Linked DNA regions of Alligator mississippiensis. The protein of the gene in region 2 interacts with the protein of the main gene of each other region in a biochemical or structural test. Links are inferred from orthologs where the notes say so. Each region holds a gene or a part of one and is shown on either strand. Other genes may lie near its edges. The genes, in order: TIMP4 and MMP2.

What was found.
Region 1: the proteins of MMP2 (region 2) and TIMP4 form a complex in vitro, tested with the Homo sapiens proteins (2 studies listed by BioGRID). The link is inferred for Alligator mississippiensis from reciprocal best matches to the Homo sapiens genes MMP2 and TIMP4.

What each region holds. Positions count from the first base shown.
Region 1 is NC_081835.1:31,311,171-31,315,100, reverse strand, and holds the start of TIMP4 (metalloproteinase inhibitor 4), read right to left. Parts: upstream 2,477-3,930; 5' UTR 2,286-2,476; coding exon 2,156-2,285; intron 1-2,155. UniProt on the Homo sapiens protein: Complexes with metalloproteinases (such as collagenases) and irreversibly inactivates them by binding to their catalytic zinc cofactor. Known to act on MMP-1, MMP-2, MMP-3, MMP-7 and MMP-9.
Region 2 is NC_081833.1:46,114,521-46,118,450, reverse strand, and holds the start of MMP2 (72 kDa type IV collagenase), read left to right. Parts: upstream 1-1,307; 5' UTR 1,308-1,489; coding exon 1,490-1,642; intron 1,643-3,930.

The DNA.
Region 1 (3,930 bases), on a different chromosome or scaffold from region 2:
TTAACAGAGATTCACCTCTTTTGTATTCTGCAAAGTCTCTGTAATTGAATGATTAACGTTTACATCATTGAAAAACTCTGCAATTCTGGTTAAGTGTTGAAATCTTAACTTGGATTGGACTGGTCCCTTCAAAGTTAAAGGTTAAATTCCCATCACATCAGTGACTGAGGCAGCAGGCTCTACATTTTGTTATTACAAATATCTGGAATTATATAAACACTAAAATAAAATTATCTTTAACATTTAATAATATTTCAATCAAAACAGATTAAAAGTATTCTTGTGTGTGTATTTGATAAGGGATAAAATGTTCTGTGCCTTGGTTAGACAGTCTAGTAGAGAGTGGAAAGGGCTGACCACTAGGAGCTAACTAACTTCCTGGTTCAAATCCACCTGGCCCCAGCGTATAATAGTGTTGCAGAGAAGAACAGCATTCTCCAATGCCCTGCCCATAAAACTCCCCCAGTACATCTCCTTCCTCTTACATTGTGGGTGGAGGATAATGTAGAACAACCTTTGCTAAATTTGTCAGTAGAGACTTCCCCAGCCCACAGTGAATTCTTTACTGGTCTTTCCCTGCCACTTTGCAATGCTTATATGGTGTATCGTTGCTCTAGCAAACCAAACAGTCCTCTTTGCTTATAGAAATTATAGCATGTATATCTATATGGATATTTATTCAGTATATAAATGTATCTACTTACAGTACTTATAAAAGCAAATTCAAGTGGTAAACACCAAACAAAGGGCCCTTGTGTTCATGCTCCATTTAATATCAGTGGGACTGTGTGTGTTAGTAAGTGCTTGAGGATCAATATCAAATACAATGTAATTTTATTTTCTGCCCCTAATACTTAGTCATAACAAAGAAAAAGGGAGATCCCCTGTTTATAAAAGATATTTGTGGAAATGTGAACCTTGTAATTTCCCTTAACCTAATGGAATACTTTATGTAATAAGTATCTTGAGTTCTTTTTCTAATGCTGGATGTTTGTCAAATAAACAATATAAGTTGATTGTTGAAAAAAGTGGTGTTTGCAACAACTTTTTCAATGCAGAGGACAAATAGTGTAGTATAATAATTTTTAAGCAGTAAGTAACCTGAACTTTCCACACCTCAAATAACCCTAATCTGGGATGTTTGGTATAGGTAAATTAATAAAAGGATTGCTTAACAAAACCGGATTAAAAAAAACAATTTAACTGATGGCCATAAACAGAGCTTAGAGTCTGTCATGGCTACAAAGAATTTCTATCAGTGTATAAAAGCAATTAATCAGTATGCAGAAGGTATTGCCTACCCCATAGAGATGCTAATTTTGCGACACTTTGGAAACTCATGTTCTACATTTACTGTTCACACAGGATAGAAGCTAACCAGCCACAGCTTGAGCTAATGAAATCAAAGACTACAAAATGTCACTTTTTTTTATCCCCATGTTGTCTAATTTTGAGATCTTTAGTTTTTCTATATATTGATTTGAATATCATGAAACACAGCCATCTTAGGACTGGAAAGTGAAATGTAGTACAGAATTCCTGTGGCTAATCTGTCTATAGATAAAAAGGCCTATACTTACCTGCTAAAATTGTTGTTGCAAAATGGAAAAATACCCAAACCTTATTATAGTACATCACAAATCAACTGATTTAAATATATATCCTCACTGGATTTTACAGAGCTGTGGCAGCTAGTTATTCCTAAAACACACATACATAATTTCTGCTTAATATATTGTACCTACATATTTTATATATAATTTCCCATTCTATATATTTAACATAGCTGGAATTATTTGTCAGTGACAATATTTTTCCTGTTCACTTGGAAAGCTAATATAGAAGTTCTTTCTTGCATTTTAAAAAGTACTAATTTAATATAGCAGCTAACTCAACAACATATAGTCTAGAATATTTACTGAAAAAGGAAGGGAAACAGAACAGCTACTAACAAATATCAGATACATTTTAAAATGCATTATCTTATATACCTGTCTCTTTAATTAAGAACACTCTGCTTTTAAACCTTTTCAGTGAATAATCTACTTTGTTTAATGTATTCCCTAGAGAGTAGAACAAAAAATATCACAGCACTTAGTTTAGTTACAATTACTTTCTTGCTGACAACGTTAAAAGTATAGTTGTTATGACTCACCTAAAGCGGAATCACAGATTAGTTGCTGTGGATGTGCAGGGGCACAGCTGCATGCCTCTACGAGCTCCTGAATTCTGAGCGTCAGAAGAAGCAGCACTGAAAACAACAAGGTACTGAGTACAGAGTTCATGCTGCCTTAACCACGTTTAACTGGCCAGCTAAAGAAAATATTCTCTTACTGGTGATCTTACATCTAAATTTCCTAGTGTCTGTCTGATTCCTTCCTTGTGAAGTTCGATTTCAACAGACTTAGATGGTTAGAAAAGCCCTCTAATGCTCAGACCGAGTATATGCTAATGATAACTGACTTCTAATTTCCTGGACATAGGACCCTCTTATTTATGGCTGTGACACTAACTAGTAACCCCGCCTTCCTTTAAGGAAAAAGCACATCATTGGTGAAAATACTGTATGACAGGCTTATTGTACCAAAAGAGATGTTACCTTAGTGGGTTGCATCACAATGTTGTTGTTATGAGTCAGTGTGACTATTAATAATCAAAAGCTTTGAAAAAATCTTTTTTCATATTTCTGCAATTGATTTCTGCTCTTTAGGAGAATAGAGATTAATAAAATAATCTGATAAACTTCATGCCAATGTTAATAAAGAAAAAGTTCTGCCACCTTCCCTATCATGGCCAACGTAAACAACATATGTAAAAGTAATCCTAATATCCTTGTTTCAGCTCTGGTTACATTCACAGCCCTGGATCTTCCCCTGTTCCTCCCTACATTTTCTTGAAATAACTTCCCTGTTTTCAGGTTGTATAGAACTTTATGAATAAAGAGAAATGTTTCAATGCCATGCATGTAAACTTTGAACAATTGGTCACTACAAGCATTACCAATTTAAAAATAAAAGCAGAAATATAAGCCTTTTTTTTTTCTACTTCAGCATACACTTAATTTGAAATAACAACAAAAATATCCCTGTGATAAATGTTCTGGGTGGACCCCTTATTCTGCCGTCCTGATTTTACGAATCTTAATCAACAGATATGCCCTTTCTGCTAGCTACTACGAGTCCATAGGCTCCTTGGACTCAGTAGGCACATAGAAAAAATAGTTTAATTCCAGAAATGAAGAGCCCTCATCTCTTACCTACAAACCTTTTACTCCTATAATCTGCTGGATTTTTTTCACAGCCTGTATACGTGAATTTCTACTGCCCTTATAATAGATGGTTTCTCATGCGAACAGCACATTAAGGTCTGAGCAGAGAGGATGGTGATTTTTATACATTTGAGAGGAACCTGTATATAAGCTACAGGGGTGTAGTTTGTTGCTGTGTTGGTCTGAGGACATAGGCAGACAAGGTTCTTTGGGTGAATCTGATATCTTTTATTAGACCAACTTAAATAGTTGGCAAAAAATTTTTAGCAAGCTTTCAGGTTTAAAAACCCTTCGTCAGGCTGAGGAAGTCTCTGCAGTTGGTGTGTGCTCTTCCTGGATGGAATGAATAGTAAAGAAGCCAGAGGCGGGTCTGGTATGCATGCAAGACAGGCAGTCAGTGAAGAAGTAAATTGAGAAGTCAGTGGGTGAGAGAGGAAAAAAAGGGGGATGAATATAGCAGTTAAATAGTGGAGAGGTACCTGGGGAGTCAGATGTCATGCAGGTTATAATGTGTCATAAATCCAAGGTCTATAGTCCATGATTTTTTTGTATCCAGGAGATTGATGAAGTGAAGTTCATAGGCTTGTCTCTAGGAAGTATTTTGTAAGTTTCCTTTGAGGATTAGAACTGCGAGATGGGAGAGAGAGTGGTTTTCTTGCGAG
Region 2 (3,930 bases):
CATATTTCCATTGTTCATGTTTATATAAGGTACAGAGACATAGTCTGCATAAACATGAAGTGTTTTCAAAGGAATAGTTAAAGTAGAAGGTGCAATTCCTTACTAGATCTTGGGGGAAGCCATTCATTGTAACATCCAGGTAGCAGTAACTAGTTACTCTAGTTACTTATTTTCAATAAAAAACTGCAATTTCAGCTAAACATGTCATTCCAGGCAGTGGTGCTTTAAGAAAATAATGAAATATCATGCCTTGAGATAACATCACGAGACCTGGCAATACTATGCATGAGGTAATAAAGAGTGCCCGTGATTTGGCCATGTCTATAATAGAAGTTTGCACTGAGACAGCTACACAAAAGAGTAAAATCCCCAGTGTACACAAGACCTGAATTTCTTATGACTGTTAGGAGTTTTAGAAAGCAACTTATTTTTGTGAAATTGGCCTCATTCTCTACCATGCAATGTACAGAGTCAGGCAAGTACGTATCTGTCTGTCTTGCAAGACAACAGAATTATGCCAAGTGAGACAGCTCATTAAAGGTAATCCTTGCTTGAAAGATAAAGCGAAGCTGGAGTGACATCTCCAGGGTGCAAAATCCTGGCAGTGTATACAGAGACACTGAGTTGTCCATACACCAGTATCCCTCTCTCAGCCTAATGTACACAGAGGAGACAACTCTGTGTACTGCTGAATGGTGACAAAACCCCACGTGAGTTAAATAGGTAATCTCAAATGATTGTTGATAGTAGTTTTATAACAAGACTCATAATATATTCTGTGTGTCAGGGAGGGGAGAAAATGAATATGCATTTCCAATTAATCCTGCATTTATGTATCAGTGGTCTGAGTAGCCCAAGCAAAAATATAAAGGAGCATGCTTTGTCTTGTGGACTGGTACGTAGACTACTGCAAAATGTAGCCCCAAATGCTCATTAAAATGCAGTGTAGTATAATGGGATCATGTATGACCAAACAGGTTTTCAAAATTGTGGCACCCCCTCCCCCCCCCAACCTAAAAAATCCCTTAATGCAAATACCTAACCCATAGAAAAATCTGTACATTTGTTTGTTTTTATTTCACTTAATGTACATATAAGATCTTGTCATTAATCTTAGGTGACATTTTGCCCTGAGCCACACTTGTGAAAACAATCTAGAGTTTCCATGCATGAAAAGCAGACAGAATTTGGCCTCTTCCCTATTTCAGCTGCAGTGAATATCTATCTGTGGCTACCTTAAAATCACAGCAAGTAACATCTGGTAACTGCCCTTTTTCTCATGTTTCCACTGGTTTTCAGACCTCCTGGTAGCTGAGACTGCGCATCTGGATGTTTTAAACATACAAAGGAATTGCTAGAGCAGGCAAAAGAGAAAACGGTGCAGAGAGTTAAGATGTGCAGATAAGTAACTGGTGGACTGTGCAGCTAAAATAACTGGCAACCAGTGAGGGAAAAACTTTTTAAAGAGGGTAGTGCAAGCTAAGGCAGAATGAAGACTCATGTTATCTTTACCCCTTTTGGCTTCATTTTTAAAGTACTCTTGATCCAACAGCATATTTTTTACCAAACTTTAGCTGCACCGTCACCAATCATTAAGTTTCCTGGAGACAGCCCTCCTAAAACAGACAAAGAACTAGCAGTGGTAAGTGTTGGTTTTGTCTTTGCTTCAGATTTATATTGTTGTTCACCATAAGCAGATGTTTCTTTCTTGTTTCAGCTGAGGCTAGGAAATGACTGTAGTTTTCTCTCTCTAGAGTCTCTGGAAGGGAGAGCTAGCTAGCAAGGGTATCAGTTTTCAGATATAAAAGCTAGAGCCAAATAATGTTTCCCCTTTTAAAAAAATTTAAGCCAGCATGGAGAGGGCTTTTCTTTTCTCTTTGAACATACAAGAAAAGAATAATTTCATTAAACAGTTCTGACTTTTGTTGAAAGGTTTTAGTAGTAGTATTTAAAGCAAATAAAATGGAATAGAAAAATATGGAAAACACACAATTCTGAGATTCTTTTATAGTCTAAGCTCACACCACTTTTCAAAATGTTGTTTTCCGTGTTGTTTACCATGCATTGCATAAGCACGGCTTTGAGGGACAATTATATCTTAAAGCTGGATAGAGTTTCAGGAAACATAATGACTGGTTCTAACTTTGAAAGACCTTATCAAAGGTTTGATGAAAGATATTTTTCCTAACCCACATTCATTCTGGAACAAAAAAGTGACATTAGCAACTTATGGATGTATAGGATTTTATTCTAACCTTACTTTAGCCCTGTGTACGTTCATAAAAATGACATAATGAGAAAGTCGATTTTAGGGAAGATTGAGATGGATTATTCTTATTTTAGCATGCAAATTATAGACATTTCTCTTCTTCATCACTAACTCCATTTTAAGGAAGATTGAGATAAATTATCCTTGTTTTAACATGTAAATGATCAAAAAAATGGTCACTTCTTTTTTAGGAGATAGTATGCACACCAGGAAAATTTGCTAGGTTTAAGGGAGGGGTGGAGAGTTTCCAAAAGGAGGTGGAGATGTTGGCAAATGCAGGCAAACTGACCCAAAGGAGCAATTTCCACTTTCAAACCTTACCAAACAAACCACCAAAGGTTTTACTGACCTTGGCAACATGACAAGGGGGTCATATATTTCTAACGGTAGTTCAACTGTTCTTAAAATAATCTCTCCATTTTGTTAGATACACAATGAAGTTTTTATTCAATAACGGTAAACCACATCTACTCTTCTCATCTATATTTCATTCAATGAGCCTATTCATTGTTGTGTATATTCCAATGGAAAATCATGTACTACTTCAACATTTCAGTTCTTTGTCTCTCTTGTACTACTCCTGAGTAATGCTAGACTGCTCAGTCTCTTATGCACCCTGGGCCTGAGCAATGCCAAGGTTTAGAAGCAGAACTTAGACCAGCATTTTGCTGCTGGACTCCTTTCAGTCACAGGCTACATCAAAATTGCAGCTTCCCACAATTTTCCACAGAATCTGACAGATCTTTCAGAGCTTGGACCAAGATGTTGTTTGGAGAGATACAAAAACTCTCCTTCAGAACTCTGAAGATATAATAACTGTGTTCATCTCTGTTCTTCACAATGTGTCTCTATTTTAGAAAGTTTCAGATGCATTATTTTGATTTTATATTTTAGCAAATAAATATCTTACTGTGCCTCAGTTCTTATCCCTCAGCTGTGCACCATAGTCCCAAGACTGGAATACATGGCAGCAGATATAACCTGCCAGTTTAGATTTCAAGTAAGCTTTTACTTCCATACAACTCTAGTTATTAAGCCATGACACATATCTGGGAGATAAGGACAGAGGCAAAATTAAGATAGTCATATGTCAAAGGAAAAATCAGGATGATAATGTATTCTGGGCATTGGTATGCATAGAACATATTCTGAGACCATTTCACATAAAGCCAACAGCTCATAACCTGTCACTGATACAATGAACCTTACAGCAGGAAAGTAATATGAAGTTGCCGGGTAAAATAAATACAGTGATCTCTGCCGCCAAAAGCTACCTCAAACCAGGTTGATATTAAACTTCAGAAACTAAACAAAATTTAGTCTTGATAAGGGGAACATCTTCCAGGACTCCAAGATCTTGTTCAAAATCGTGCTTCAGAGGTGTGTATCTGCTTTGCTTCTATGATAGTTCTAAATCAGTTTCCCGGTGGTGGAACTGAGTACTGCATTTCATAACCATTTGCAGTCATTAATAATTCCTTGTTACTTTTTTGTAGTGAGAAGTTAACCAAAGTATCTTGGGTAAACTTGAGTTGTTATATTCTAACTACATGGACATTTCTGTTGCATTTTCAGTTGGTTAACAAGTTCATTACTTGTACCTACATTCAGTTGCACAGCTGCATTCAGGTCAGGGCCTTCAGTTTGAAGTTAATTTAGCA